4 linked regions of the Arabidopsis thaliana genome follow. The protein of the gene in region 1 interacts with the protein of each later gene in a pairwise test. Each region holds a gene or a part of one and is shown in the gene's direction. Other genes may lie near its edges. The genes, in order: AT4G29930, MYB62, APL and NAI1.

Region 1 (9,799 bases):
ACAGAAACAGGCACGTCAGCAAATTTAAATCAACGCATTAATTATGATTATTAATTCCGCTTTGTTACCTAATGATCTAATAAAGTTATTATATTTTATTTTATTTGTTGTCGACAGTTATACTTCTCTTATCTCTATTCGTTATGTTATATGAATTCACAGGTAAAAGATTAGAGCTAATAAATAACTTAGAATCATAGGAGAATATTTCATTTTATTACATGTTATATACTTATCATGTTTTTAAGAAAATGAAAAAGTTAGGTTAAAGTGGCTATACGATATTACGATAAGTAGTAGTAGTACAATGTTCAACTATTGCAGTCAAAAAAGCATTTTTCACCTTTTACATCTTTTATGGATAGTTTTCACTATTTTTATAACTTAAAAGATGAAACTTTGGTTTCATATAAAATTCTTTTGATCATCTAGCGTCGTATCCAAAACTAAAGATCATATACGTATCTTTAGTTTTGTTTATATTGGGAATATTAACTTTATTATCTATTTATTAGTGTCACCTTTGCTGTGTAATGTGTATCTCCGTATATCTATGTCTCATACTTAGTGATAAATGATTTTTTGCAGAAGGATAAGCTTACAGTGAAAACAATAATCCAATTTCTATGAGGTTAACAAATATGTATATATATTTTAAAACCTCTAAGAGGTTAACATATTTTTAAACGTAAATATTAGTTGCTAGTCGAATTTCTTTTTAACAAAGATTGGCACAAAAATTAATGCCCAAAATATGATTTTATTTAGTTGTTACCAAACTGCCTATAGTTTGATAAAAAAATTATATATAAAAAGGAAAATTAAAAAGGGAAACGAAAAACGGAACAAATCATTGGAGAGGATCGGTCAAAGAGGAATAATTAAGCTCTTTCTTTTTAACAAATTTTATTGTCATTCACTTTTATATTTGTCTTTTGTTGGGTACTGTTGAACGAATGTTTCTTTACTTCCATCACAAGACAAATAAATAACTCAATACGTCGCAAGTGATTCTTTATATTCCTAACTGTCGACTAGAAAGAAAATAAATATCATAGTTCTTTGACAAAAAAAAAAGAAAATATCATAGTTACTTTACTCCAAAATTATAGCCTATGACTAGACTTGATTGGCCATAGAAAATACTTACATATTATGTTATGATGGAATTTCTTCAGTAGCTATTCAATTCTTGTTAGGATACGACGCTATATTATGATGGAGTTTCTTCATTATTTACATGTTATATTATGATAGATAGAACAAGAAACAAAAATAAAAAGCTTCTATGTAATTAATTATGGAAACTTTCTTTGGTAATTTTTGTTTGGACGTTGTAAATTACTTTGCTGTTTTTTATTTTATTTTTTTTTGTATATGTTGCGTTTTCGTTTATTGTTGATTTATATATTCATCTAAACGTGCTTCCAGTTTTAAATAAATTTATTTTGTATTTGTAAACTTAAAAGGCCACATGGAAAATTTTCAAAACTTTACATAAATGACTGAAATTACAATTTACACCATTTTTCTTCACACACTTAAGAAGAGTCAAGACTAAATTTTGGAACATTCAAACGGGCTAAACCATTAAGCATCTTTGTCTGGGCCGAACTCAAAATATATCTCTGTTCAATCCGTGCCTTCAGCCCAACATGTGTTTTTTCAGCCCAATAAGTTTCTTGCATGTTTTGAAATAAATAATGAATTTTAGTCGAATTACTTTCTCTCATATCGGCATATTTTGTTCATTTTGTTTGATGAATGGGTTTAAGTCGTCGAAGTTGGTTAACCGATATCGTAACGTAAGATTGAACCGGAGTTTCAATACTCGTTACATTTTTTCGTATTCTAGCTAACGTGAACGGATGTTGTTTATACAGCTTTCTACTACAAAAGTAGATTTCAAAATTGAACTGCGATTTTCTTCTTACTCTTCTAGAAACACTTCCTCATATTTAATAAGAAACGAAAGAATTAGACTCCGACAATATTGGGAATGTTTAGTTGTCATTTGGACCCAATATAATCAATTCCATACATTTGCAATTGCAAGGTGGGTGAGTCATCAAAATTTATGAATCTTCCAAAGATTATAGATAGAACAGCTTTTAATTAGCCTAATAAACAAAAGGAAATACGATTATGCATACAAAATAAATTAAATATTAAGACTTTTAATGAATTCTTAACCAAAACCATATCAAGTCATATCATACACTATCCTCCATACACGTGGTAGCATACATAAGTACGTTAAATAATTTTATTTAGCAAATAATTTTATTATAATCATCTTTGATCACCAAGATCATGTTGGGCCATCCAAGCCACGACTTTAGTAATGTGAAAACAATATCATAAGGAACGAAACACTGTTCATTTCATACAATTAAAATACAACTTTTTCCTACACATTTTCTCAAGAGTTTAGTAAGTGAGAGACGAATGATTTGAGAAAACAGTTTTTACTTTTTTCGATTTGTTTCTCAAACTCAGTATTTTCGGATTTCTAATCCAGATTAAAAGTTCTGAATAAAATCACGGGGTATGGAGCAAAGCCGATATAAGTAAAAACCTTTCCATATTGATAGACACTAGATTTTTTTTTAGTTCATAAGATAGATACTAGATTTAGTTTGAGTATAATGGATTAATGTGGAACTAGTTGTATTGTTTAGTATGTGTATGTTGTATGATTTAGTGACCGTCTTCAGTTTTCTTGATGTCTTTCCACGTTTTACAAATTCTTGAAAGAACTGAGAACTCAAATGTATGATACATAACCATTGAAAAAAATATTTCCACCATCATAAATAGAGTTTTACGAATCGTTTCACAACTTTTAATTCAGTTGACACCATTAAATAATCAATATTTCTTTAGTTACAATTCAGTAGAATAAAATTGCATATGCTATATTATCTAATTCTATGAATATTTTCTGTCTATGATATTTGATTTTTATATACTTTAGATTTTGGATCACCCCCACATTATTTCGCTTTTCAGTCACATTTTGTGTTTAATATTGCTAGATAAGTCCGTGGTTATAGCTTACTTTGTTAAAATCATATATCTCAACTTATTTCATAACAGTATCTAAAGAAGATGGAATTTTATAAATATATAGACACTCAAAAATCAGAAGAAAATATATATCCACAAATAATAGAAGAAAACATAGATTTACTGCATTCAAATCAAGGGACATGAAAGAATATCCTGGACCCAAGTGGGTTATATTTTCAATAAAATTTAGCAAAAAAAGTTGACAATCAACTAATCATCACCATTATTGGCCATAATCATTACGTACGCATACACATAGCCACGATGTCTACCTATGTTTAAATCTTTGAATTCTGAAACTACGTATCTTTTATTTTTGTTTAAAAAAAACCTAGTACGTATCTTCTTTCCTTACTTAGACATCATCTTCTAACTTTAAGGATCGAAATTAGAAGAAAAACAAATGATTAATATCTACAAGAACAGAATTTTGCATTTATACTCAGATACTCTTCTAGTACCTCACAAAAATAAAATGAAATTGGAATTGAACACGCCCTAAATTCAAGTACTATACGGTCTATACCCATTTGAGTATATGAATAATGCATATTGTGAGTGAAAGAGATAGATACGATACACTCTTTTCTTTGTTTTTCAATTGGACAAAAGGAAACAGATTTTGATCTCTGAATTGAACGGTCAAGATCGTATATAATTATTTCAGGAGATTAAGATCCCACGTGCTTAAAAACTCTCTGTCAGACTCTTTATGTATAAAATCCTCGGCCCACTCTTGTTTTGATAGTACACTCAATAGAAAGACACAAAGAAAGAAAGAAAGGACAAACAGAAATAACAAAACCTTCCATTTCAAGAAAGCATCATCTTTGTGTGTCCGAAAAATGGAAGATCTCGACCATGAGTACAAGAATTACTGGGAAACCACAATGTTCTTCCAGAATCAAGAACTCGAATTTGACAGGTGCTTACTAGAATCTTGGTCCATTTTTTTTTTTTTTGTTTCTTTAGTTTTTTTTTCCGATAAAGATTAATCTTGCTTTAGTTGGTAATTAATGAAAATTGTTATAAATTATAAAATTTAAGTTGGCCGATGGAGGAAGCGTTTTCGGGTTCCGGCGAGTCGAGTTCGCCAGACGGAGCGGCAACGTCGCCGGCTTCTTCGAAGAACGTTGTCTCCGAGAGAAACAGACGGCAAAAGCTTAATCAGAGACTTTTTGCTCTCCGGTCAGTTGTTCCCAATATAAGCAAGGTATGATTAATTATTCCATTACTTCTCTTATTTGTTTAATCAACTGTCTCTTTTAAATTTAATTTGTTATCCAAATAATTTAGTAATAAAGTTTCGTCACCAGCAATTTTTGTTTTGGTCAACAGAAATTAAATAAGCGAATAAACTTTCTCTTCTTTCTTTTGTAAAGAAATAAAACTATACAAATACAATCTGGTTAAACCAAATCCAACCAACATTAAACAAATAAGCAAACCAAATTTTTGATACTCTAAATCCATATCAAGCCATACTAAAATGTATTTTGGTCCCCTAATTACCCTGATAGCATATAATTGTATACGTGTGATGATTTGTTGATTAAGACTGGATTTTATTGAAGTATTAATATTTATCTATTTTTAGTTGGACAAGGCATCTGTCATCAAAGATTCTATCGACTATATGCAAGAACTTATTGATCAAGAGAAGACTCTAGAAGCAGAGATCAGAGAGCTAGAATCACGGTCAACATTGCTAGAAAATCCGGTAAGAGATTACGATTGCAATTTTGCGGAAACTCATCTGCAAGATTTCTCAGACAATAATGACATGAGATCAAAAAAGTTTAAGCAGATGGATTACAGTACTAGAGTACAACACTACCCCATTGAAGTTCTCGAAGTACGTACTATGCATTATTTGGCAGTACATTCTAAATTACCTTTCTTTTGAGGTAAAGTTAATTATTCCAAATTGTTTTTATATAAACATGAAAAAACAGATGAAAGTGACATGGATGGGAGAGAAGACGGTAGTGGTATGCATAACATGTAGCAAGAAAAGAGAGACAATGGTGCAGCTTTGTAAAGTGTTGGAGTCTTTGAATCTCAACATTCTCACTACTAACTTCTCTTCCTTCACCTCTCGTCTCTCCACCACCCTCTTCCTCCAGGTCACTCTCTCCCTCTCTCCCTCTCTCATATCTTTATTTGGCAATGTGATTACTAGTACAAACTACAAAATTCTAAATGCATCTAGAGAATACTGTACGTGTCTTGTTTTGGTTTGACGCTCATTTTGCACTCATGGAGCGAAATTATAAAATGTTAATGGAAAGAGATGATAATATAGTTTAGAAGATTCTTGCTAATAAAGAATGTTAGATCAATTGTAATCAGCTATAAAATTAGTTTTATGCACTTGTCGGACTATAAAACACACCAACCAAATATATTTGTCCATTTTTAATTTGTCGCAACTATTCAGACTTTTATATACCAAATTCAAATCTTACTATTTTCTTTTCTTTTTGGTTATTTTGGGAGAAAAATGGTCGTCTGACGGCACGTAGACAAATCCTTTAGTGGACAAGAATTAATAATATGAATAAAAAGCATATGACTAAGTGCTTTAGTAAAGTGGATTGTTCTTTTGTTTTGGTAAAGAAAATATGTTATCTTTACGTAATAGTACAAAAATGTAATTCAAACTTACGAATTGTTTGGAAAATCACTATCAAATTCAAAAGGATAACCTTTAGACGGACCCATTTAATTACTACTTTTCTCCCACCTGTCTCCATTAAGTGGACCTTAATTCACATTACACCTTAAGTATATATAGTCAGTAATATCTTAATCAATCAATTAAAGCTCCAATTATTGAGGTTGCCTCGAGCCCATCACATTTTTTTCGAATTTCGCCTTGACTTTTTCTGATAGGGTTAGATTCTCTCAAAAGTTAAATGTCATATTCCATAAAAAATTAGGATTAACTTAATCAAAAAATTAGTGTGTGAAATCTCAAGTGCCTCGTGTCCCAGAAAGTGCCGTCCAAGCATAGTAGCACTAGAAAAACGTGGCTAATTTATAACCTCACGCGGTTCAACGTTTGTCTCTTTCACACTTTTAGCACGTGACTTTTCTAGCACTACACCTTATATCAATTCTTAACTCAAATTAACAATAGGCTACAAATCAACTGTAGCCAATTAGCAAGTTATTTGTGTTAACTAGTTGTATATGGTTCATAAGGTCTTCATTATGCTAATCATTTTGGTAAAAATTAGTTACTCCAAATGATATCCATAGCAGTTCATGGTAGAAATTAAGGTTTGGTCCTTTTTAATATAAGCAGATTTGTTAAGAGTTATTATTTTGTGTTTTTACTCTAAAAAATACAAATTCATTTCATTATCTCTATCTATTTGATTTGTTTATCATCATCATATACTAGGACTTTGGTGTAAACAATCTAATTACAAAAATGCTAGTTTCGTGAACTAACGTTCTATTTTTTTTGAAAAAGGTAATTATATTATAAGCTGTAGGTTGGAAATTTTTGATGACAACAAATACGAGTATTTCTTGCCTCACAAATGAATATAATATTATGTTGGTTTTCTTTGACAAAAAAGAATTATGCACCTTTATAACATTTTCTTGATAAAAGATAATATAATCAGACGCTAAAATTACAGTGAGGTATAGACCAGTGGAGTCATTGAGAGTTGGTGAAATCATACTCCAATCATTTATCAAATAAAAAGTCGATCATTTCATTTCAAACCTGTCCTTATCCGTCCTTTTAAAGATTATACAAAAACATTAAACAATGATTTATCCACCAATCTCATTTTCCACGGGAAATAATTATAGTAGTAATGCGTGCAGGTGTATATACACAAATTTATCAGTTCTAATTTTCTTTTTACGTGCTGCCAAAAAAAAAGAAGTTTTTTTTGTCTGATTCGTGTAAAACCTAAACACCCCTAATTTTAATAATCTATACTGACGTTGGACTTCCTAGAATCCTAATTTACTTCAAAATTCTGTAAAGATATCGTATGATTGAAATAATATAGGACTGTTTTAGTTTATATTGTGATAGATGTATTAATTATAGTAAATCGTTGAATTTGCAGGCGGATGAAGAAGAAAGCAGTGCAGTAGAGGCCAAGATACAGATGGCCATCGCAGCTTATAATGATCCAAATTGTCTTATCAACTTCTAATTTACTTCTGGTTTTTTACTTAAATCCGTTTTATGCAATATATGTGAAGAGCTACTATTGTGAGGGTTTATTTGTTTGAGCTACAAAACATCCGATGTTTTCTAATAAAATAAAACAAAAATATGCATGTTCCTTCTTATAATCTTAAAAATTATACTTCTAAAAAAATCATTTGAATTAATTGCAATCATAACCGAGTATAAGAAGAAAAAAACATAAAGAAATATGGTTAAACTAAAAAAGCAAATATGACTTTATAAAAGATTTTGTGGATACTTTGTCTTTGAATTGATGAACATGAATCAAATGCATATTGTAAGTTGCAAAATAGAGAGACTTGCCATTTGTTTCAATTTGATCTGTAAAGTTAGGCAACAAATGTTTAGTAAACTCATAAAAGTGACAGTAGGCTTTGTTAAGGAGTTATGTTCAGATAATTGCAGATTTGTAAACAATTTATTCTTACCGCTATATACACTCGGTCTAAAAGCTTTCTCTATAACCATCATCTTTCTATGATTATTACTTGGTTGAAACTAAAAATATAGTTGCCAATCTTACTCTATCTGTAAGAACCTAAATCTTTCAGCTTTATTATTTTTTAAACTAAAATTAAAAGCCAAAGTTATTTGGAAAAAGGGAATTAAAAAAAAAAAGAGAATAAAAAACGAAATGTACATAATTCAAAAAAGAGAGCTAAAAAGTTCCATTAAAAAAAAAATCCCAGTTTTATTTTTTTCTGGGGGATTTTATCTGAAGTTTAAATGACACATACAAACTGAATAATACACAAAACTACATTAGGTACTCTCTTAGACTACGTTCCAAAAGAATCTAACAATACCAAAACTTCTGCAAAGGACTTTTTTCTTTTCTTGATATATATATATATATTGTTACCTTTTCTCCTTGATCTCTGCTATTGGAACATACACTACTGAGTCTTCTTCAAGTAAAGGAGAAGAAGAATTGCCTAACTTTTTTCGGCCTTTTGGTGTTTTAAATCTATCAAGCCTCTGCGTCACGTCCAGTAACTTGTTTTCTGTTCTACAAAGCATCTCCATTACTGCTTCCAATTCTTCCTCTTCCGTCATCTTTCTCCCCGTCTCCTTCTCTTCTAAGCTCATTTCGTTGCTTAGCTCTTCATGTGACTGAACACAATAAGAACAAATAAACTTTAAAAATCTACAATTGTCTAAAACCACTTGTCAAACCAAATTCATGGAAGCGATACTTGATCATGGTTTCTTTAATATAGATATGTTCAATAAACTCATTTTGGCGAACCAGCTAATTTCATTTTACCTCTTCCGTCATCTTGCTCCCTGTCTCCTTCTCCTCTACCGCTGTACTTAAGCTCATTTCGCTGTTTAGCTCATCATGTGGCTGAACATAATAAGAAAAATAACTTTTAAAATCTGAAATTGTTTAGAATCACTGGTCAAGGCAAGTTCATGGAAGCAGTACTTAACCATGGTTGTTAAATATCAGATATATATGTTCTATCAACTTATTTTGGCAAATCGGCTAATTCATATCTTACCTCTTCCATCATCTTGCTCTCTGTCTCCTTCTCCTCTACAGCCGTCTTTAAGCTCATTTCTCTGCTTAGCTCTTCATGTGGCTGAACACAATAAGAAAAAAATTATTTAAAAAATTTAAAACTGTTTAAAACCACTGGTCAAGAGCTCAAGGCAAGTTCATGGAAGCAGTACTTAATCATGGTTTTTAGTAATAGATATGTTCAATGAACTCATTTGGCGAAACGGCTCATTTGTATCTTACCTCTTCTATCATCTTGCTCTCTGTCTCCTTCTCCTCAGCAGCCGTCTTTAGGCTCATTTCACTGCTTAGCTCTTCATGTGGCTGAACACAAAAAGAAAAGTAACTTTGAAAATCTAAAATTGTTTAAAACAACTGGTCAGCCAAGTTCATGGAAGCAGTACTTAATCATGGTTTTTTATTAATGGATATGTTCTAGAAACTCATTTTGGCGAAACAGCTAATTTATATTTTACCTCTTTCATCATCTTGCTTTCTGTCTCATTCTCCTCTACAGCCGTCTTTAAGCTAATTTCGCTGCTTTGCTTTTCATGTGGCTGAACACAATAAGAACAAATCACTTTTAAAAATCTAAAATTGTCCAAAACCACTGGTCAAGGCGAGTTCATGGAAGCAGTACTTAATCATTTCTATCTTACCACTAGAACGAAAGAAGAATCGTTTTGTTCCAGATACTGTTGACTTTCATCTGTGGGTGAAGGAAAAGAGACATTTTCCTGTTGAAATTCCTCCTGGTTGTTATTACATGGGGAGAGTATGTTTTGATTTGTAGCGTCAAATCCGGGTGGAACAGTGTCATCCAAAGTATCTTGAACTTCATTTGTTTCAGTGTTGTTCTCCATGACTGCTTCTGGTCCAGAATCTCCTCCAGAGACTGTCTTAGAATCCCCAGGTTGTTTCACGCTCTCAGTCTATCATATATAAACAATGGCAGCCAAATGATCAATCTCCTTGTAAGAAGTTTAGTCTCTGTAGGC
Region 2 (7,652 bases), on another chromosome or scaffold:
GAAAAGTCAGAATGATGACGTGTCGATTGTGTAGAGGAAGGCACGAGGTTCTTCTGGAGATTTTGAATTATTCGATGGGCCTGATCCAATTTCGGGTTTCTTGTATCAGGTCCAGAGAAAGCCTATAACCTCGTTGTTCTTATTGGCTCATCGGATTCCAAATTGGCGGCGAGGTTACACAGACCTACTCCTCAAATCCTTAACGTACTCGTAAGCCCATATCCGATTTTTCTTTTCCTGTAAATTTAAATTTTCTTACAAATTTCTCAAAATCGCAAAATCTTTGCCTCTTTCTTCTCTAATCGAACTAAATCTTAAAACTTTGCTGATTGATTGATTTTCGATTCCGGTATGTATCTTTCTTTAGTTTTCAATTCGCTGCTTGCTTCTTCCCTGGGAATTTTAGGGTTTTTAGGGTTTTGTAATTTCCGATTGAAAAGTTTCGTGCTTTACGAGTCTCTGTAACTCAATTTTTGGCAGGGAGAAGAAAAATGGTATCTGGGTTGATTAATGAGAACCCTATCATTTACCCAAAGAAAGAGAGGCGTCTTCGTACTGATACAAGCATTACTGATGAGCTTACACCAGAACCAATTGATCAACTTGAGATTTTTGATATCCTTTCTTCATCAAGTTTTCTTAGAACTACTCTAATTGCAAACCTTAATTGGTGAATTGGTTTGATTGTGTGTGATTGTGAGGATGTGATTATCGTCTTACAGCTATTAGCATCTGAAATTAAGAGTAGCTAGTGTATGCATAGGTTTTGGAACAACTTGACATGCCTCTTAGCTTGAAGTTTGCTTCTTTACACTATTAGAAGTCATGAATCTTTTGTTCTCATATGCATATCTTTTCGAAGTAGGTGTTGGAACCATTTGACATGCTTCTTAGCTTAAAGCCTACCTATGAATCTTTTGTTCTCGAATGCTAAATTTCTTGTAATTATGCGTGGTATCGGTTTGGTAATCTGTGAACAAATGGAATCTATGTTTTAGTTGATACAGAATGATATTGGATTATTTCTGTTGTTTTCTTTAACAATACACAAATCATATAAGAGATATCAAAGATCCAGAGCATCCTAATACTCTGGAAGATCTCAGAGTAGTTACAGAAGACTCAGTTGAAGTGGATGATGAGAACAGTTATGTTAGGTAAAATGTTGGGATTGAACGTTTTGTTATGGATTTTTAGTGTTCCTTTGAGCCAATCTGTTGAGCTCTACCATTTCTTTTCAGGGTTACGTTCACTCCAACTGTCGAACATTGTAGCATGGCAACCGTTATCGGTCTTTGTGTCCGTGTGAAACTTCTACGAAGCCTTCCTTCTCGATACAAGGTACAAAGCTTTCTTGTTATTTCATTTCTAAGATTTTCCGGTTCCCTTTTCCTGTAAGTTTGTCAAGATGATCTTCTGAGCCCATTTTCTGATTTATACATTATCGAGAGTGGTTTGAACGTAACTGAGATCCAACACATGTTCTCCTTGTGATGATATATGAGGCAGAGAAATTTTTTAATTTTTCATTCTTAATCAACTGTTCTTGATACTTGCGAAGAGAAGATAGCCCTAGCCTCTACTATATATAGTTAGGACTGCCTTAAAACACACTCGCACAATGTTTTATGTGCCTCAGTCCTCTGAAACGAATCTTCATTTTTCAGATTGATATAAGGGTAGCACCTGGTTCTCATGCAACAGAAGATGCATGTATGTCATTTTTCAATATCTATCCATCTTTTTTGGTATGCATGTTTTGCTTTACATCGAGTGTACTTCTTTAACATGATGTCTGGTTTCTTGGTGTTTAAAATGCAGTGAATAAACAACTAAACGATAAAGAACGTGTGGCGGCTGCACTAGAGAATCCAAACCTCGTGGAGATGGTTGATGAATGCCTGCCATCAGAAGAGTGAATTGCTTTTATTTTCTTGTGAGCAAGTAATTTACACAAGCCTGGTGGTCTCAGTTTACACTATCAATACATGTCTCTGTTTTATTTGCAAAGATTTTGATCCATCACATCGACTAGGACTTGCATTGTAATACTTACTCTGATTTCAAGTTTGTTCTCAATCATTTCAATAAAGTCTCAAACACAAGTTCTTTTTAATAAAAGTTGACGTGTCATTTCGATTTCAAAGTACATATACATCAATCAAGTTGGGAACTTCACATCTCTCTCTCTCTTAATGCATTATTACAAAGTCAGCAAATTGTTTATGAAGCAAAAAGCTGTTTTCTTCTTCTTCTTCTTAGATGTATTGATATATGAAAAAGGAAACAACGATAATGAGATGGATATTTTTGGAAAGGATATGTAAACTTGAAACACACACTTTCTTTTTGTGTCCCAACTTATCTTTAGGTTTTCGATTATCCAGAGTATATGATGTTTATTGTTTCGTTGTATAATGTATGGGACTCGAATCATACTTTAACAAGAATCTTGTATATAGCAACTTGGTCTCAAGATCAACCTAGTTGCATAACTTGTAACCCTCCGATAGAATCTTGCAATCATATATATCTTGTAGATGTTGACGAACTCGAGAATCGGGTAACAATCAATCATCTTCTTTTGTAGTCTCGTGATTTGATTATTGTCGTCGTTAATTGTTATGCTATAAGTAGAGTTTAAATTTGAAAATATGCGTATGTGAGTTGTAGACGACAAAAAATATTTAAATTTGTTTACGTTAGTCCAATTATATGGATAATATTTGAAGGAAATGAATGTAACTGTAATTCTATAGAACAAAAATGACTGTTACTAATAACATAGTAACAATTATGTCATTGTTGATTATATAATAAGAGAGGATAATGAAGACACAAATGTCAAATCGACTTTGTTTTCTTTATTCCTGGTCTTTAGGCTTTATTTACATGTTGTTTTGGTTTTTGGGAGTTATCATCTTCAAAAGATTGGGTTGAACAGTAAGTGAGAGTTATTAGCAATACCATAAGTTTTAATACATGCACATAGACATTTTTTGACTTGCCGGTGTAAAGCGACACGACCCTTCCTTATTTTTCCAAAATTATTATTTGTTTAACAAAATATTATACAATACGATTTGAGCTAATGAAAACTAATATAGGAAGAAGAATCTTTGAATATTCAAAGTTTGAAAGGATAATATGCTATACTAAGTCCGCATAAATTAGCTGGCTTCTAGAAAATTGTTGTTAAAAATAGCTGTCTTCTAGTTTTACCATTTACATAAAAGTTACAAGAATTTATATCATTCATTACACCATATGTAATATATGGATATGAATTCGGATGATGCCACATCGACCACAATAGCTCAAAGCTACTAAACAAAAAGTCTTGACTCTTGATCAAACATTTGGAGTGTTTATTCCAATTTTTGGATTGTTTTGGTACAATTTTTATTTAATCAATAATTTGTGGGACAGTGGTTTATTAGGTTTTGTAATATCTTGTTTGTCTCGAGTCAAGACACATGTATCATGTATGCTTCTTGTTCCCATACCAATAATTATGTTAAACTATGTTCAATCTCAATATTCAGCAACATTACCAAATAGAAAACCAAAATTTTTATAAAAACTGTTAGCCAAAGTTGGGATAAAGACAATTTTAGAAGTAGAAGAAAGAAAAATGACTAGTATACACTATCACAGAGGTAAGAGTTAAAAATGAACTCTATAGCATATTATGAATATGACTATTGTAAACTTTTCCTGTATAGTTAATTTAGTATTTAAGAATCTAAATCGTACTTTCTTCTTCCAAAATTCTGTTCCATATTCTTTTCACGTGAACATCTAATCCATAGAGTTAAATCACCAAAATTCCATTTCTGTTTCATCGTCGCATAAAAAAGTTTATGAAACTGTATCGATATATTCTATGCTTCTAATGAATTATATACTTGGACCAGGGTTCATCGCAGGATTCGACTAATCCAAAACTTTTTTTTTTAAGAAAGTCATATTTAACTGAAACAAAAACCAGATGATTTAAAAAAAAAATGTTTGCATATATCATATATGTGTTGGCTTTTGAACAATGGTAGCTCGAAAAATAATTTCAGAAAAATTGCATGCGTAAGATGAAAACAGAGACGCGATTAAGAAAATGTCAATGAGATATTTTGTGATAACAAATACTAATGAGTTAAAACATGTTTTTTGACAATTTTAGAATGTATAAATGTCCTTGGCAATGTTAAAAAAATAACAATATTTTGTATGAGTTAAAAAGAGAAGCTAATTTAGTAAAACAATTTACTTTAATTTGGAAACGTGTGATAATTAATTTTTCATTGGAAAAAAGCAAGCTGATGGCTAAAGTAACAACATTTTCCAATACCACGACCACGAGTCTATAAATTCCCAAGAACCTGTTGAATCACTTTCACTTCTCAAAGCACCTAAAAGTCTATCTCTCTCTCTCTGTATACAGTCATGCATGCATAGAGCTTAAAAGATACGAAAACACCACAAACCAAATATCATTAAGTAATTAGGAAACTTAAACTAAGTATGGAAAATTCGATGAAGAAGAAGAAGAGCTTCAAAGAAAGTGAAGATGAAGAACTAAGAAGAGGGCCTTGGACTTTGGAGGAAGACACACTTCTCACAAATTACATCCTCCATAACGGTGAGGGTCGTTGGAATCACGTCGCCAAATGTGCTGGTAATTAATCAAGAACTTGATATTGGTTTATTAGTTAGATTCTCTGACTTTACTATATAATCACTATCTTTAACAAAAATGAGAACAGGGCTAAAGAGAACTGGGAAAAGTTGTAGATTGAGATGGTTGAATTACTTGAAACCCGACATAAGACGAGGGAATCTTACTCCTCAAGAACAGCTTTTGATCCTTGAGCTTCACTCTAAATGGGGTAATAGGTGAGTGATGAGTCACTTTCATATCTCAAGAGTCTTTTATTTTCTTTTTTTGTTTTTTTTTTCTTTTTTCCTAAACGAATATTTGTTATCTAAGGTGGTCCAAGATTGCACAGTACTTGCCAGGAAGAACGGATAACGAGATCAAGAACTATTGGAGAACAAGAGTTCAAAAACAAGCTCGTCAACTCAACATCGAATCTAACAGCGACAAGTTCTTTGACGCTGTTCGTAGTTTTTGGGTCCCTAGATTGATCGAGAAGATGGAACAAAACTCATCCACTACTACTACTTATTGTTGTCCCCAAAACAACAACAACAACTCTCTTCTTCTTCCTTCTCAATCTCACGACTCTTTAAGTATGCAAAAAGATATAGATTACTCGGGTTTCAGCAACATAGACGGTTCTTCTTCAACTTCTACTTGCATGTCTCATCTAACAACAGTTCCACACTTTATGGATCAAAGCAACACCAATATCATCGATGGCTCGATGTGTTTCCATGAAGGCAATGTTCAAGAATTCGGAGGATATGTTCCTGGCATGGAGGATTACATGGTAAACTCGGACATCTCAATGGAATGTCACGTGGCGGATGGTTATTCAGCGTACGAGGATGTTACACAAGATCCCATGTGGAATGTGGATGACATTTGGCAGTTTAGGGAGTAATTAAGTCGTCAAGAGATGAGATGGTAGAGCCTACCACTACGGTTCTATTATATGGACTAATATACTTCTTTTGCTTAACTAAGCAAAAAGTTTCGAACCTTTTACCCATATTATCTCGGGTTGGAGACTAGAACATGTTAAATTTGTATCTTCTTTGTTGCGAGTACTTACTAAGTCATTGGATAAATATTTATAATGATAGTTTCTTGTACAAGTCTTTGAATTCATGAAATCTTTTATCAATGTATGGAATTTTATGAAGTTTTAAACTTTAATCATATTCTTTTCGGATTGGAATTGAAACATGTTAAATTAGTCTAAATTTTTCCTCTTAGTTGGTGATCAAAGTCAATGTTTGGATAATTATTTATAATGCTTGTTTGTTTGTTATATAAGTCTTTAAATTCAAGAAATCTTGTATCAGTGTATGGAACTTCAATTTATGAACTAACCAGGTCAATTTTATACATGACTAGACTTAAGAGTAAATAGTAAAGGGTAGTCTCTTGTCTTGAAATCTTTGAGACTTGTGTGGATTTTAGTGAGAAGAAAACATATCTAATCTCACCTCAACAGGTGAAATAACCCAAAAGCTAGGAGAGTCGATCTATCCAAGATATTAAAATGATGGGGATAGAGACTCAACCATCTGTCCCTTCACCAAATTTGATGTGTTTCTTTGTAAGATCGTTGACAATATTACAGGGCATTTGGCTTGATTGACATAAATCGTTTTTTTGTGGAATTAACGAATCATAAATAATAATAAAAGAATTGATTACATAGTTGAATGCTCTTACATAAAGTTTTAATATATACGCATTTAGACAAACCATACAAAAGTTTTAATATATGCGCATTTTGTATACCAGCAGTAATCAATGTTGGTTCAAGAAGATAATAGAGACAAAGGACCCATCAATTATTTATTATAATTATCTGAAAAGAGCTTCAACTAAAATGATAGAGAAAGGTGGCTTTGGAGAAGTCTTGTTAATGGGATCGAATTATTGGAGGTCACTTCAAAAGCCTTTCATAAGTACATGGAAACTCCACAATGATTTGAACCCAAAGGGTACCACTAAAAGTTGGAACAAACATTGATGCACTTTTGAGAGGTTATGAACGATAGATCACACTCATTGTGTATGTAAAGATTTTAGTATTTCAGACAATATACAAAAAAAAAAAAAAAAAAAATTCCTTATGATCGAATCCAGAAACGTAGATGGTCCTGCTATGGACGTGGAATTATAAAATTGTATAACTTAAAGATTAAATATCTAAAACTGGTGGATAAACGCCAAATACTTTTAGAAAAGACATGAGTAACGTGGACCCAATTTGAATAGAAACATTACTGTATAGGTCAAATATTCATTAATTACGGATATATGTTAGTTGCAAAAAAATTTCAAATTTTGTAAGAACATAATCCACGCGGCCAAATCATTTGCATCTTCAAAATTCATTTCCAATGACAATGATCTATATATTGTGGAATTTTAATTGCATAAAATCATATATATTTTGAAAAATGTTTTTAGTCAAGTAGTTAAGTGTCTATTTTTGCGGTTTTCTCCAGTTACCCTTACCCACACAAAATAAAAAGTGGGCTATCGATCGGACCTTCTCGACTGATATGGTATTAGAGTGAAACCAAAAAAAATCATATTTTCCCAACTTAACAAGCACATTTATTTTAATCACTGTAATCGAAATTCTCATGTTCAAAAAATTTTTGGGAAACAAATAAAGTGAAGTCATGTTTGGTCTACATATCACCAAGCTTAATCTTTATATTGTCTGAATAGTTTATATATCTGCGGATTGGTCGACCATACAACCAGGCAGATAGTGAGACCAAACCTTGATCTTAAAATAGGCAAGTTCAATTTAAAGTGTCGTAGAACTGTATGGCTTGTTAAGGTCGAGATGGGCCAAACTAACATTTCTACTGCAATACTCATTTATCAAAAATTTGGAGATACGCAGAAATATCAAAAGTTATGAACCGAAATCGATAGTTCCATCGGTTGAACCCGAAAAGAACATCAGGGAGAAAAAGACCAAATATTTCAGTTCACA
Region 3 (8,300 bases), on another chromosome or scaffold:
AGTGTCCAAAGATCTTGGCGTGTATTTGAAGCACTTGAATATGGACTTGTAGGGGTGAACGAAGGACTCATATCAACAGAGGTAAGACCAGGGATGAAAGAACCACGTTCTCCTAATTATAGCCATACATATGCTTACATCTTTTGATTGCAGGTGGCTCCATTCGGGGGAGTGAAGCAGTCTGGTCTTGGAAGGGAAGGATCCAAGTATGGTATGGACGAATACCTTGAGGTAACTCACAACACTCATTTCTCTCTTATTGAACTCGCTTCAGTTGATAGGTCTTATATAATATTAGAAATCTACGTAATAAAGTCTGCAAGGTTATAGCCTTATAGGTGGTTAGTTTTACATTTTCCTGTCATGCGATTGCTCCCAAACTCCAACTATAACACAGAGACTATCGATGCGAATCTGTCTTTTGAATTGTTTATAAGCATAAAGTTTTGCAAATTACTACTTTTCATTTATTGATTCTGGGCTCTTGGCTTTGACGCAGATCAAATACGTATGCTTGGGAGATATGAATAGACACTGATTTGGTTTGTTTGAAAAGCTTTAGAAATTGTAAGTTTTTCTCCTCCACTCGTATCCTTCTAATAAAAGCTTACTGTGGAACATAATAAGGATTCGGAGGATACTTCTTAAGAAATAAAGATTTGGTCTACGACCAATTGTTAGCATGATTTTTAAGTAATAATTTGGGGTTTCCATTTTATTTATCTTTGTTTACGTTATTTTTTTCTTTGTTTTACGTTAATTTTTGTAATTCGGACAATTTTTGCTTTGGATATACCCAAAAAAATAAAAAAATAAACGTTGTTGTTCTTTGCTTCATTTATCAGCAATTTTTAGAAATCGATTGGGTTTATTTTTCTTTTTTCATCAGTATCTTGTCATTACTATTTATAAACGCTTTATGTCTCATGTGACAATGTTTTGGAGGATTATGACTTATTAACAGTCGATCGATTTATCGAATTTAGTGTTATATATTAAAATATTAATTATTCAAAAAAATTGGATCAGTTATGTTTCAAAATAGCGTTAGATTACATGGCTCTATGCCAAAGTTGGGATTTTATTTTTGTTTGTAGTTTTTTTAAGTGGGGAAAAGATAAGAAGGTTAGAAGGAATATATTCATTTCGGAGAAGAAATCCCAAAGCACCATCACAAAAAGATGCTTGAAGTTCAAGCAACTGTGGCCTCTATTTTTTTATAAGCCGACTTACTTTATTGTCACTAATTTCATTTCTTTCTTTCTTTAAGCTCTTAGTTTGCTTCAACAACAATTAGCTAAAAGTTAAACATTAGCTTTACTTGGTTTAACTAAAAACAAAAACTTTGGTTTCTTTTTTTCAAAGCAAAATACAATTTAGCTTAAAATCATTATTGAAAACATTAATAAAGAAAGATGAGAACTTAAATGATTTTAGGGCGGATGATTTGCTAATGCTAATATGCATCATATCACTATGAATCAATTTTGTAGATAATAGTGATGATGATTGTGAAAACACAAATATCGTGATAATATAAGTAGGAATAATATATGTGTGTATCTATACTCAAAAAGTGGTAAGAAAAAATAAAAAGTCTAGTAAACTATGTAAATGTGGCTGGCCAAGTTTATACGGTTGGCATCTATCGCGGGAGTTGTATTTTCATTTTTTAATATTGTTGGCGCAATAAGAATCTATCTTTATTCATCAAAGAGGAGAAGAATCGATTCCAATTCTCATGCAATTTGAACTTTGATTTAATATTTAAATTCAAAAGTTATAACCATTTTCTTATTTTATCTTGGTCAGAATTGTGTGCGGTAATTGATTAATTTAATTTATTGTACAAATAATTCGTTTCACAGCCAAGATTTTTAACATTTCTGGCAAAGAAAAACACTGTTTTTTTATTTATTCCAAGAAATTAATATCTGAAAAATGTGTTACCATGTATAGCTGCACAATCGTCAGTCCTACAAAAGCCAAAAAAGGTTATAGCCCCAGCAAGCTTTAACCAATAAATTAAAATGGAGAAAAGAAGAAAAACATATGGTAAAAATAAAAAGAATAAAAGAGCTTTAATAAGTAGAAGAAGAGGTCCCCAACGTTAACTCTATCTTTACACATTGATGCATAATTCTCCACATATTAATAGTCCGTGTTTATAATATGTATAACTTTAAAAAATTGTTCCATATTCTTATGTTAATTTTTTTGTTTTAATTCAATATTCATTGACTGGTATTGGTCTACATTTTAACATGTACATGCTTTCCCTTAATTAATACTTAATATATAACCTCTAATAAATTTCTGATTCAATTCAAATTTTATTCTTAGATAATATTCTCTCTTTTTTGTGTGTGCATATCAGCCTCAGCCATATTCATTGACTTATTCTTGTTCTATGTAAATATGCTATGGGACCTCCCACTCATATATATTTAGGTTGACCATTTATTTTACATGCATGCAATTGAATTTAGGGGTTAATCTAAATCGTTGCGTATATGAATTATATATGATTTTAGTTTGTATATTGAAAAATGCATCGTCGTTCTATACATAAGCTAGTTTAGTAGCTAATAGGGCAATATTAACAAAGTTGATTTTCTGGTTTGTAGTGTCCATACAAGTAATTTAGTTAATTATCTCGTTTGTTCACCTTTTTGTTTCTTTTTTCTTTTGCTAGCTAGTTAATTGCGGATGTAAACTACATCTTTTACTAATCGATGAATGGAAAACGTTTTTGTCGTAGACAAATATTCCACCGTACCTAACGGTTTTGGATTGCATGTATATAATAAATTTGTTCCAAAAATATACGGTCTATTAATTTATAACGAAGCTCATCATTGCTTAGAATTGTATATTCACCTCATAATTAGCCAAAAAGGTTTACCCTACCATAAATGATAAAATCCCTAGCCTTGTGGAATTTGTTTCGTTAAGATATTTGTATGTATGCCTCCAATTACGATATATGACGATGTAGACAAACTATAAGTCTAGTATACGACTCTCCTCGTGCGGTCTTAATTGAATAGAATACATAGAACTTTAATATATTCACTTTAAAAGTTTATATTTTCCTATAAAGAAAATATTTACAAATCTTTGATTACTATTTACTCCAAATCAAGCATGATTAAGAAAATAGTATATAGAACAATTGTATGATAAATTTGGATTTAAAAATTACTTCTAAATTATAAGGTAGTAAAGAAAAAGAAACCAAAAATATAAGAATAATAGATGTGCAATATCTTTGATTCAGGTGAATTATATTTTAACTTAGATATCTCAAGTCATTTTAATGTTTATATCAGGAAATAAAGAAATAAAAACCATCATGCAACAAATCATGCATATATATTAGATACATCCGTAACCGCTTTTTTTCGTCTTTTTTTTTTGTTTTTTTCGTCGTCACATCCATAACCGTTTTGATATGAGATCTCCGATGTTCAAAATTCAATTTCCCCCAAAGATATCAATTTAATATCTAATATATACTATTATTTTAAGTTTGCGCAGTAATTTAATAATCTGAGACAGACATGATTTACTTAATGTATACGTATAGTGGCTTTTACACACATTTTATATTGAAAGAAATTCAAAGGTATTCAAGCTAAGAGGATAAAAAACACAAATGAAAAAGATAGCGACAGTATCTTTTCACAAAGGAACGTCTGTGTACTAGTCTGAAACTTTAGTTCTCTTCCTTACTAACGATAAAACATATTTAACTAAACCATAATTTATTTACAAACAAAACAAAAAAGACGAGAGAGAGAAAAAAAAGCCGTCATCTGATCTCTTCAAAAACGCATCGTATTCTCTCACATTTTTGCATCACATTCGTTTCTTGAATCCCCTCTTTCAGAGAGAGAAAGAGAGTCAGAGAGAGAGAGAGAGAGAATGTTCCATGCTAAGAAACCTTCAAGTATGAATGGTTCATATGAGAACAGAGCTATGTGCGTTCAAGGCGATTCAGGCCTTGTCCTCACCACCGACCCTAAACCGCGTTTGCGTTGGACCGTCGAACTCCACGAGCGTTTTGTGGACGCCGTCGCTCAGCTCGGCGGCCCCGACAGTATGAACACACATACACAAATATATATTCAATCCATTTAACCAATTATAAATGTGTTTTTTCAAAGTTTTTGATCATTTCTATTTGCAGAAGCGACCCCAAAGACGATTATGAGAGTTATGGGTGTGAAGGGTCTTACTCTTTACCACCTAAAGAGCCATCTTCAGGTATGTACACAAATATAGATTAGGGTTTTTTTCTTCCTTGCTTTTAATTTTCTCTCCTCTTTATCTTTTCTATTCTTTTTTTCACTTAATAATATAATATAATAATCTAACAACTTATTTGGATCTATGGGTGCAGAAATTCAGGCTTGGAAAGCAGCCGCACAAGGAGTACGGAGATCACTCCACAAAGGAAGGTTCAAGAGGTGACCACTCTTCCTTTCTCTATCAAATTAGGGTTTTTATAAAAAAGTTACCCATAATATAGATATGTATTAATGTATATATATGTTCTTTGATCCGTCTTCTTCTAATTTTTTTTACCGTACGTGTAGCTTCTGCCATGGATATTCAGCGCAACGTAGCTTCTTCTTCTGGCATGATGAGTCGCAACATGAATGAGTAATATTTTAATCAGATTTCGTTAATTTTCTCAACTTTCATTTTAATATATATTACAGCAACTCACACCAGGTTGGTTTGATCAGGATGCAAATGGAAGTGCAGAGAAGGTTGCATGAACAGCTAGAGGTAATTAATTAACCTATAGATATTCTATGATAACTGCTTGTACAAAATCAATTTGTATCCCATAAATATAGTAAATGATTTCATTCAATTTTTATAGGTGCAAAGACATCTGCAACTGAGGATTGAAGCACAAGGAAAGTACATGCAATCTATCTTGGAGAGAGCTTGCCAAACCCTAGCCGGTGAGAACATGGCAGCCGCCACCGCAGCAGCCGCCGTCGGAGGAGGATACAAGGGTAATCTGGGAAGTTCGAGTCTTTCAGCAGCGGTGGGCCCACCTCCTCATCCTCTTAGTTTCCCGCCGTTTCAAGACCTAAACATCTATGGAAACACAACCGACCAAGTCCTCGACCATCACAACTTCCATCATCAAAACATAGAGAACCATTTCACGGGTAACAATGCTGCAGACACCAACATTTACTTGGGGAAGAAGCGACCTAATCCTAATTTTGGTAACGATGTAAGGAAAGGACTATTGATGTGGTCTGATCAAGATCACGATCTTTCCGCAAACCAATCGATCGATGATGAGCATAGAATTCAGATACAGATGGCTACACATGTCTCCACGGATTTGGATTCTTTGTCGGAGATCTACGAAAGGAAATCAGGTTTATCAGGTGATGAAGGGAATAATGGTGGGAAATTACTGGAAAGGCCATCGCCTAGGAGATCACCATTGAGTCCTATGATGAACCCTAATGGTGGATTAATACAAGGAAGAAACTCGCCATTTGGGTGATACAATTTATTAATTTTTATCTATGAGTGATGCATGGGAATGTAAGAACGAGATATATATGTTTTGTCATTGTGAGTTTGACGTAGGGTTTAGAGATGAGACAAAACAAAACAAAACAAAAAAAAATAAAAAATATATAAGCTTTGTTATGTTTACCGGATTAGTTTTGCTCGTGTTTTATAATCTGTACGGAAACTATATATTATTGCTGTTCTTATAATATTTTAGGATCTATATATTTTGTACTTATTCGTTACTTATTTCTTCTAGTCAACTGTTTGATGATTGATCTTTACATTGTTAGTCTCAGTAGAATTGCCGAATATATGTTTTGTTATTCTTTTATCACCCACATAAAATCTGTAGTTGCCTTTTATGGTTAACTAGCTATTTTCATATTCTATGTTTGATAGCTTTTTTTAATGGCAATTTCAAATAAATTAAGTTTAATTTCTTACATCCGCAATTTTATTTCATATGTACATACTTGTACGATTTTCATATTTGACAGTTTGCCAATTAGAGGCATATAAAATGTGAATGTACTAAAGTATATCTAGTACATGTATATGATAAATCAGTACATATGTATATTACCTTAACCAGTATATATATCCCATGCATGAACGTAACTGTATATATGACAAATAATAAACATTTATGTGTTAAGAGCTAGGTTGCTCATGTTTCAAGGCATGTACGATATTTTAAAGCTTTTGAAGGGCCCTTTGCTTTTTCATGAGTTAGTTATTTCTATCTCAAGTTAGTTTGTACTTGATGCCTTATATATGATTACGCTAAAATGGGATATCTGCATCGGGAAACTAAATTTTCAATCAAACTTAAAAATAAAGTTTATGGTAAAAAAAAATCATAAGTAAATACGAAAAAGAAAGGACAGCGCAAGTGATAATGATGATGATGATCCCCATCAAAGCAAAAGGTTTTTAGGGTTTTGGGAAAACCACATGCAAACACCAAGAAAAGCTGTAAACTTTGATTCAAATGTATATATAGTCACTTGATTTTGTAGGATACTACTATGTATATGTGTATGCAGTTGTACGCATATGTAAGTAAGTGTGTATGTAGAGATTGATAGCTACAAGATCCTTTTCAAAAGAAATAAAAGAACTTGTCATAAGAGAAATTAACCGACACTGAGTATCTATCTTTCCTTCCGTATATATCTTTGTTCTTTATTCTTTTATTTCTTTTCTGCTTCATATGACCACTAATTAGGACATATATTTATACAAAAGAAAATTATTACACTGATCATTCTTAATTGAATTTCAGGAGCTTAGTTATAGATCTTACAAACATCGGGAAAAAATGTTTGTAATTCAGAATTTTTGCTCTGCTATGATTTTTACTTACTCGATGCATCCATTTAGTCACAACTACAAATTACGGCTCATATATGTATATGTTTATATAAATTATTACTGATCAACTTTGTTGGGTTCAGAGAGAGAAAATATAAAGATCTGGTCATCACTGCAAGTTGGCAAGTAAAAGAGAAAGCTCTCTCAGTCTCTCTCACTCTCTCTAAAAGCTGAGGAAAACAAAAGGCAAAAAGAGAATTGAAGAAGAAGAAGGAGAAGCATAGAGATATTAACGCACTCCCATGTATGCACTTCTCGAGGAAGCTTCTCTTCTCCTTTTACATACGCCCCCACTAATTCCCTCTAATTACGTTCCTCGGTTTTTTTCCTTCTATTTAATTAATTGGATTTGAAGACAAAAAAGAGTAGACGACCATGTAATAATAATTAAAAACAAAAAAAAATAAATCAGATAAATTTCTTTTATTTATTTATTATTATAAAAATACTATATAAATTATAACTAAAAATAATTATTATTTGGGGATACATTTGAAATATCATATACTTTATCAATAAATTAGTTATGGTACAATAATCAATTTAATTGTGAAGATGCATTATATACAAAGTGGATCCGACGAAATGACGATGATGCATGTTTTGTGAATATTCATTTCACAATAAAATCACACCAACCACAAGTTAATTATTATAACTATTCGGTGCTTTTTAATATATATCCATCTGAACATCTCATTCTGTTACTTTTTTTTTTCGCATTCACATGCATAAACGTGCATGTGATCGTAGCTTTACTTGTATATCATAATTTTAAATAGGCTAATAGTAAAGCTAATGTTTGTACACATATCATATGGTAATTATTATGGTTGTTAAGCAAACTAAAGTACTTATAATAAACAAATAAAGTAATAAAGGTAACGGTCTTGGATGGTCTATGCACATTCTTCCATACAAATCCTCTGTAGGCACCTCATTACGATCTCGACCTTGGATTCCATTTTCTACTCCCTTACTTCTTCTGTTTTCCAAAAAAAAAAAAAAAAGAAGAAGAAGAAGATAATATACTTCTTTTTGATATTCTATATTTTTCAAAATGATACTTTATTTTTGGTATGTGTTGATGTAGAATGCTCTCTTAACAAAGTACATTCCCGAAGCATCTATTTTTCTTGTCCCTTCTTTCTCTACTGTCGTCATTTTTCCATTACTTCTAAGTTCTAACCTATTTTGAGTATTTTCCAAAAAATTCAAATAACTATTCATATATTTTTATTACGGAAAGAAAAATAAATCATTAGATTTGTTACATTAAAAAAAAAAAAAAAGAATAGAGAAGAAAAGCCCATTTGCATCAGTTTCTTGTTTACGCTGAAGAATCAGACTGGGCTTCCATATAATGCCCA
Region 4 (8,163 bases), on another chromosome or scaffold:
AATTACTTCTCTTAATAAGTTTCGAATTTAAAAACTCCCTTCATATCGAGAAAGGAGTGATCACATGAATCACATGTACTATATATCACGTGATCAATTCAATCCGTTAAAAGTTTTTTTTTCCTTCCGTCAACAACTTGTCTTTTGCCACAAACAAAAAAGTTAAAGGATAGTCAACCACTGTGAATACCTCACAATAATTAATTACTATATATTTTATGGTTTCCATCTCTTTGAATATCGACACGAACATGTTACTTCAGCTTCCATTGTCTTGGATTTTGATTAGTGAATAATCGTAGAGGTTTTGACATAACCACAAGAGCATGTGTGCCATAATATGCTTGATTAATGATAGTTTTCCCTGATTCACCTTAATTATATTGTCTAATTTGCTATTATAGTATCATTCAGAGCATGCAGATGAAAAAACTAAATTCGGTGGGAAAAGAAGAAGTCAATTTCACGGGACACTAGTTTGTAATCAAAATTGTTATATTTAATGAAAAAAACACTCTCGGGACGATTTAACTCTAAAGTCTCTAACCACTGCAGTTGAAAGTTTATCAAAAGCGTGGCCATATGTATACATGAGAAATCACGTGTTTGCTCTATTACGTAGTCAACATCACCTTTAAATATCATTGTTATTGATAACTTAAGGAATTAATCAATCGTCGTTCAAACATTGCATTATGTAAGTAAATGCATTTGTAACCATTCATCTACATTTTAAAAGCGTTTTTTTTTTTTTGTCGAAATACATTTTAAAAGCGTTAAGACTTGAGAGAGTAGTCTTAATCAATTGTTAGGTATAAATTTTTTTCCAGAATTGATAACGAACATCCATAATACAAAAAAAAAATTAGAAATTCGGATTTTCCTTATTAGAAATATTTACTAACGAACATTCATAAAACCATAACCACAGTTTTAAACTTGTGGAGATGATTTTTGTTTTTTTCATGTATATAGAAAAATTATTTGAAGGTTCAGTTTTTTAACAACATAAATTATAAACAAAAAAAAAAGTCCAGATGGTGATAGCGTGGTATAATACTAGCATAACCACAACTTAGATTACAATCTACAAATCATGTTCAATCTGACGAGTTTCAAAAATACCCAAAAGTTTTTGTTGGAAACAAATTAAGAGTGAACTGAAAATCTTTCTTTGATAATGTGGAGTTTATGTACTCCATTAAATTATTCAAACGATCCTTGTAGTGAGAAGGTTCATTCGATATTTGTTTATCATCATAAATCTCCGCAATTAATATGTAGACAATAACAATAAATAAAATTTGTAAGGAGTAACATGGAGGGTGGAGATCATTAACTGATATAAACTATAAAGGCTTTAATAAAATGGATCTCAATCTTTTCCAGAAAGAATAGCATCTTAAAGGTGGATATATCATGAAATCATTTTTACTCAATTTTGTTATATATTATTCACGAACCATTTAAATTATTTGTATTAAATAATTCAGATAAAGAGTAAAGTAATGACATGTACGAGTACTACTAATTAATCTGGTGTTTGCCTGTTTGTATATTCGTACAGATCTCAAATTGTTATTTCTTTTTTGAATTATAATTAATCAAGACGTATAACTAATACTCTCTCTGTTCATCTTAATATGCATTGCAATATGGTGCTTACACAAAAAAAAAAAAAGCATTGCAATATGGGAAAAAATTATTTATTATCCACATAAACACTGTTGGTGATAAATATTTGTTATGTATAGTAACATTGTATGCTTGAGGTACACTGAACCACATTTTTTTCAATTCACCAATTAATGATGTGAATAAAGACATCAAGACAAAAAGAAAAAAAAAACAGAAAAAAAGACATCAAGACTTCATTGAGCCCGTAACCAAAATTATCAAAACAATTATTATCCCTTCATATATGGATGTAAGTTGTATGGAAAATGATTACATTCACAACAAATGTGTTTTTTGTTTTGTTTTTTGGCAATGCATATTGTAAATTTAATTACGAATGGCATGACACATGGATGATATTTAAACAAACCACTATATCACATATGTTGTCGCTATAAAAAATATTTATTATTGGGTTAATCGATCCCAGGTCCTAGAATTAGTTTTGATCTCTTTGCTATATATAAGAACAATCGGTATATTATAATAAGAATGCATTGACCTAAAAAATACTATTAATAATAATATTAATGCAATAATGAGGCAAAACAATTAATCACACATGATTCACGAGGATAGGAAAATGGTTCCAGAGACAACTTCACAAAGAGTGATTATTATGGTATTTATTGTATTTTAATTATTAAAAAAAAAGGAAATTAACAGCAAAATCTATATTGTAAACTCACTTTACGTAGAAAAACTTCTTCGATATAATATTATGGCTTTGATTGGTAGGTTATGAGGACGTGGAAAACATAGATTAAAAGGCAATTCTAAAAAAGACCACTAAAATGATTTTGTTCGGAAAATACCATTTAGTATTTTTGATTATTTTTTTCAAAAATACTACTAAAAGATTTTTTCCTAAATACCACAAAACTAAAACTAAATATAAAATTTTCAGAATTAAATCCTAAATCCTGAAAAATAACCTTTAAAATTAAACCCTAATCCCAAAATACTAAATTCAAACCCAAAATTTTAAATTTTAAACCCCTAAAAATCATTTTTAGTGTTTGTGTTATTCTTACTAACCGCAATCCGTCTCATAACCAGTTAAGCATATAGGATATTTTACAAATTCCTATGCAATGTGAAATATAGTTGACTATTTGTATTCTGGAATCTTTTATATCATGGTTGAATTTTTAAATTAATTAGTAAAAAATAATTCTTAAAAGTGTTTTTTGGAAAAATATTGATTTTGCTAAAGTTTTTTGGAACAATCATGAATCTGCGCTGCTGTATTAATAACTTAATTAGTAATTCTATACACAAACTCAATTATAGATCTTCGATTCACAAAGAAGCACGGAAATTAAGATTGTGTATAGAACTAATCTTAATTTCATAAGTAACTAATTTATAATTAAGTTATAATTTATTCACAATCTCAATTATAAATTTGACTCAATTATAACTTAAATATTTCACCATTTATTTAATCACAGTTAATTATTATTTTTTAATTTGTCCAGACAGATTCAACGGGAGCCTCGTATTATTGCATAAACAAGTAGGAGTTATATAAACATAGTATTTTTCAACCTCTACTGGCTTTAGAATATAAATATCCAATTATCATCTATATGATAAGCGTAAAATCTATTCTACGTCACGAAGGATTGGATTTTATTGGAGTTTTCTTATAATAAAACTAATGATTTTGGACATTGATAAGCAAATTCGGATCTGTAGTGGGACCAAGTTACTTGCAATAACACGTGGGGAGTTGAGTTCAAATCTTTATATGTTGATCATTTGATGTGTTGGCACGATCAGTGGTTTTGTTTTATTTTTTGAACAAGCATCATCAGTGTTTAAAATAGTGAACATGATAACTTACTTATATCATTAGGGGTAAATATTAGCTATCAACTATCAAGTACGAGCTAATCATAAAATGATATATGAACTTTAGACCCATAATATGATATCTTCAAGACTACTTAAAACCTCAATTTTCTGAAATATACTATGCAAATACCCAAAACACTTAAACTAACAGAGCATTTACATATCCTCTTTTGCATCTGCATTTTTTTTTTTTTTTCTAATTTTGAGCATCGAAAGATCTTCGAAAATAACTTTTTATGCTCCTAACGATCGATTTTGACAATTTTCTTCGTGGTCTATTTAAATACTGCACAAACTATCACAATTTTGTCTAATAAAAAAACTTACAATATTTATCATTGTTTTCTTCCAGTTTATCCATATGTCATATGCTTTATCTACATTTAATCTAATTCGTCCACGTGATGGGCTGTGGTTTTTTTTTTTCTTACCTAAAGTCATAGACTCACAAATCTATATTTCTATCAAGATGGATACATTTATGGTACGAATCACATGATTTTGATCTTTAATTAAAGTCTTGTTAGTTTTCCAATGCCAGATCTCATCGCATCGGTGGCTACTCAAATCCCCACCTATTAATACCAATTTCAACCAAAACAATTCCCACATTTAATTATTTTCAGGACCTTTAATTTACTAAAATTTATTATTGCTAAACCTACCGGATCGGGTAAACGGATATGCGATTCGTCAGCCAAATTCATATAACAATTATAAACCATATGCTCTTTTTCCATGCAGATATTAATTGTATACTGCAAAATAATGATTATAAAAAACAAAATCATATAGATCCACTATAAAGAGTTCACTCGACCACATTCACATAACAAAACAAAATCATACATACTCCAGAACAAAGGAAAATTTAAAATATATCTCCTTATATACTCCTAAAGTTTTCTTTCCTTTAGCTTCTTGTTTAGTTTTATTCTTTCAACATTAACTTTTTTTTACTCTCTTGTCAAAAGAGAAAAAGAGTTCTTGTAATGGATGATTCAAGCTTTATGGATTTGATGATCGACACTGACGAGTATCTGATCGATGACTGGGAATCCGATTTCCCGATATGCGGGGAAACTAACACCAACCCCGGTTCCGAGTCTGGATCTGGAACCGGGTTTGAGTTGCTAGCAGAAAGACCAACGAAGCAAATGAAAACCAACAACAACATGAATTCAACATCTTCTTCTCCGTCGTCTTCTTCTTCTTCTGGTTCTCGCACGTCACAAGTGATCTCATTTGGGTCTCCAGACACGAAAACCAACCCGGTCGAGACATCTTTGAACTTCTCCAACCAAGTAAGCATGGATCAGAAAGTGGGGTCGAAAAGAAAAGATTGTGTTAACAATGGAGGAAGAAGAGAACCACATCTATTGAAAGAACATGTTTTGGCTGAACGAAAACGTCGACAAAAGCTCAACGAGCGTTTGATTGCTCTCTCTGCTCTTCTTCCTGGCCTCAAAAAGGTCAACATCTATAAACCATCTCTTTCTGATTGTACTTTAACTATTTGTGTTTGGTTTAATATTTATTATATAGTATATTCTTTTATAAATAACCCACCAGAACCGTAAATATATATTCGGAAAAAGAAACTCATTTTTCTTTAAATGTAAATGTAAACTCCAACCTCAACAAACATAAGAAAATCTTGTTCTTATTTACATTTTGAAAATGAAAATCTGTTTTTTTTCTTAAACGTTTTTTTTCTCGTAAAAATCGTGTTTAATATGATAGGCTTGTAATTTGTTTGTATGTGGATGCCACTACTCATAAAATCCGGATGGTGACACAATGTTCTCTAGTAAATATTGTACTAAATGTTTTTTTTTTTTTTGTGTGTGTGTGTGTAGACGGACAAGGCAACAGTTCTTGAAGATGCCATCAAACATTTGAAACAACTTCAAGAGCGGGTAAAGAAGCTGGAGGAGGAGCGAGTGGTGACCAAGAAAATGGATCAATCAATTATATTGGTGAAGAGATCTCAAGTGTATTTAGATGATGATTCTTCATCTTATTCTTCTACTTGCTCTGCTGCGTCTCCTCTGTCTTCTTCTTCGGACGAAGTTTCGATCTTCAAACAAACAATGCCTATGATCGAAGCCCGAGTTTCAGACAGAGATTTGTTGATTAGAGTCCATTGTGAGAAGAACAAAGGGTGTATGATTAAGATCTTAAGTTCCTTGGAGAAGTTTCGTCTTGAAGTAGTCAATAGCTTCACTTTACCATTTGGAAATTCAACTCTCGTTATAACCATTCTCACTAAGGTATGTTATCAATCTTCTAATATTTTTTTATTTATCATATTCTATCTTTTTTTATATATTATCATTTACTGTTGATTTTTATGTATTAATGTGATTTTTAAATCTAATTTGCAGATGGACAACAAATTTTCTCGACCAGTTGAAGAAGTGGTGAAGAACATAAGAGTTGCGTTAGCTGAATAATATTTTAAAAAACGTTTATGTGAATTTCGCAGTGGTTAAACGTGTTAGATTTGGTCTCCAATTTTGACCAGATCACTCGGTTTAGTTGAATAATGAGTAGTTGGATAATAAAACCAGATATATGCACGAAATATGGGATTTTGTCGTTTGTTGAGTGCAAAAGCTGGATTGGTGTGTGTACCTAATTATGGCTGTATCATTGGTTTTGATACTTTGATATATATTTTTCCCCAATATCATTGGGTTGGTTCAATAATGAAGTACCTAAGTGTTCATTAATTTTATTGGCTTCATGTTAATTACTTTTTGATTATACTTAATCTGTAAATCTTTAACTGAGAACGAGAAATCTATGCTAACTATATTGGGACTTCATGCTGCTATAAACAAATTTCATTAGAAATTCTTTTTGTGTTCTTATAAAAGTTTTGAGTTCAGTTGACCTCTATGGGCTCTTATAAATTTTTATTTACTTGTATTTTGAAATAAAAATGGTTACTATAGTTACAAATTTGCTTATTGATCTCAGTGTTCAAGATTTATATTATAAATTGTGAGATATGATTTTCTCCCATTCCCATTTTGATTGGTCGACCAAATGCCTTGTTTTTAAAGGTTATGTAAGTATTACTTAACAATATTTTCGTCCTAAATCTTCCACTTTTTTTTCAACTACACATTGATTAGAGATTCATTTTTTGATTGGTAGCCCAATCAAAAAGAGAAGAGTTTACATAAGAATTATCAGAACTTAAAGATTTAGAAGTCTTAGCTAAATAATCAATTTGAAAATTACAAGAGCGAGGAATATTAGAAAACGAGAAAAAAAAACTTAACTTGGAGCGAACCAAACTCATCTAGGATTTTGAAAAAGCGGGACATTTCTGATGAGATTGCAATATAGAGAAAGTAATTCTACACAATCTATTTCGAAAACATGACAATTTACATTTTTTGAGAGAATATTCTTAATACAATCCTCCATTTCTTTTTACAATGAAAAATTGAATCATTGCTTATTTTCAACATTAATCACACATTAATTTTAATCTTATTATTTTATTTTATACTTATCTTCTATATCAATCTTTAGTATTGATAAATTTTATTAATTGAAATTTATTTTTTATTTTTAAATTTTATATACCTTTTCACATTGTAAACAGTGCTTAATTAATCAACGAATGAGCTGTTAAAAGAAAATGATAAACAAGATTATTTTAAAATAGATTTAATACTTTAAGAAATATATGTCTAGTATTTTCAAATATTTAAACCAAATTTTCTTTCACTAAACAAATTTTTTTATAAGACCTACAAATGGTATCTATTTTGTATACAAAATAGACACAATTGTGACCCCACTAAGAAATAGACATATAGAAAAGTTAATACTTGTAGAATAGTTTGTCTTTTTGCTATAAAAATATTAAAATACAATAGCGACCCCTTTAAAAACAGTGGTTAGAGGAGGCACTAGTTGTAGTTATAAATTTTGAAACAATTTATTGTGTCTTGCGAGTGGGCTAAAAATTAAAATTCCCCCATTAGACAGTGATAGGAAAAATATTTAAGACATAAGTTGACTAACAATAAATGTCATTTAAAGAAAAAATAATGGGTGGGGAAATCGTTAATTTTTAATCAACAAAATTGTAGTGATCTTACTTCCATCGGGGATTCTTCTAGAAATATACTGAGAAATGTTGACAGGAAACAAATTGAGTGTAACGCTCCGACCATCACCGTATGTGGTCTTCTATACTATTTCTCAGTTCGTAGACTTCAACATCGTCTGATAACAATTTTAAAAAGTTGTTTATTGTCTAAATATGTATCAGAAATTACTTCTAAGCAAGTCACTCATTCTAAAAGTGCTCCAGCTCAAATACGTTTAATTATAGAGTTTTAACACGATGTTTAACCCCAAAAATAATTAAGTGTAGTTTAGTAACATTGATAAATAAAATAATTCTTTTAATCTTTCTTTATGTACAACCATATTTCTAAAATTAGGGATGTTACATTTAGGTTTCTTTTTTTCCTTGCTAGAATGTAATAATCCATAATAATAATAATGATTTAGATTCTAATCTTTCAATTATAATATATACAAGTGGTCCCATGGTAAAAAGAAAAAACATGGAAGCATAAATCATAAAAGCAATTT

Evidence for each region.
Region 2: the proteins of AT4G29930 (region 1) and MYB62 interact in a two-hybrid assay, tested with the Arabidopsis thaliana proteins (one large-scale study listed by BioGRID).
Region 3: the proteins of AT4G29930 (region 1) and APL interact in a two-hybrid assay, tested with the Arabidopsis thaliana proteins (one large-scale study listed by BioGRID).
Region 4: the proteins of AT4G29930 (region 1) and NAI1 interact in a two-hybrid assay, tested with the Arabidopsis thaliana proteins (one large-scale study listed by BioGRID).

The regions. Positions count from the first base shown.
Region 1 is NC_003075.7:14,640,191-14,649,989, forward strand, and holds AT4G29930 (basic helix-loop-helix (bHLH) DNA-binding superfamily protein), read left to right. Parts: upstream 1-3,803; 5' UTR 3,804-3,917; coding exon 3,918-3,997; intron 3,998-4,119; coding exon 4,120-4,285; intron 4,286-4,669; coding exon 4,670-4,927; coding exon of another isoform or gene 4,928-4,978; exon of another isoform or gene 4,979-5,027; coding exon 5,028-5,315; 3' UTR 5,316-7,169; downstream 7,170-9,799. Other genes in the region: PRHA (pathogenesis related homeodomain protein A), read right to left, coding at 8,156-8,410, 8,565-8,645, 8,803-8,883, 9,045-9,125, 9,278-9,358, 9,461-9,733.
Region 2 is NC_003070.9:25,599,321-25,606,972, forward strand, and holds MYB62 (myb domain protein 62), read left to right. Parts: upstream 1-4,355; 5' UTR 4,356-4,521; coding exon 4,522-4,675; intron 4,676-4,763; coding exon 4,764-4,893; intron 4,894-4,987; coding exon 4,988-5,564; 3' UTR 5,565-5,861; downstream 5,862-7,652. Other genes in the region: AE7 (MIP18 family protein (DUF59)), read left to right, coding at 492-633, 1,064-1,157, 1,242-1,341, 1,668-1,713, 1,822-1,919. UniProt on the Arabidopsis thaliana protein: Transcription repressor of phosphate (Pi) starvation-induced genes. Negatively regulates Pi starvation responses via the repression of gibberellic acid (GA) biosynthesis and signaling.
Region 3 is NC_003070.9:29,874,763-29,883,062, reverse strand, and holds APL (Homeodomain-like superfamily protein), read left to right. Parts: upstream 1-3,783; 5' UTR 3,784-3,927; coding exon 3,928-4,102; exon of another isoform or gene 4,103-4,192; coding exon 4,193-4,269; intron 4,270-4,405; coding exon 4,406-4,472; intron 4,473-4,601; coding exon 4,602-4,668; intron 4,669-4,754; coding exon 4,755-4,797; intron 4,798-4,894; coding exon 4,895-5,542; 3' UTR 5,543-5,835; downstream 5,836-8,300. Other genes in the region: ALDH5F1 (aldehyde dehydrogenase 5F1), read left to right, coding at 1-81, 154-231, 500-538. UniProt on the Arabidopsis thaliana protein: Transcription factor required for phloem identity. Has a dual role both in promoting phloem differentiation and in repressing xylem differentiation during vascular development. Regulates the expression of the transcription factor NAC045 (AC A4VCM0).
Region 4 is NC_003071.7:9,680,329-9,688,491, forward strand, and holds NAI1 (basic helix-loop-helix (bHLH) DNA-binding superfamily protein), read left to right. Parts: upstream 1-4,233; 5' UTR 4,234-4,529; coding exon 4,530-5,009; intron 5,010-5,396; coding exon 5,397-5,810; intron 5,811-5,924; coding exon 5,925-5,993; 3' UTR 5,994-6,285; downstream 6,286-8,163. UniProt on the Arabidopsis thaliana protein: Transcription activator that regulates the expression of at least NAI2, PYK10 and PBP1. Required for and mediates the formation of endoplasmic reticulum bodies (ER bodies).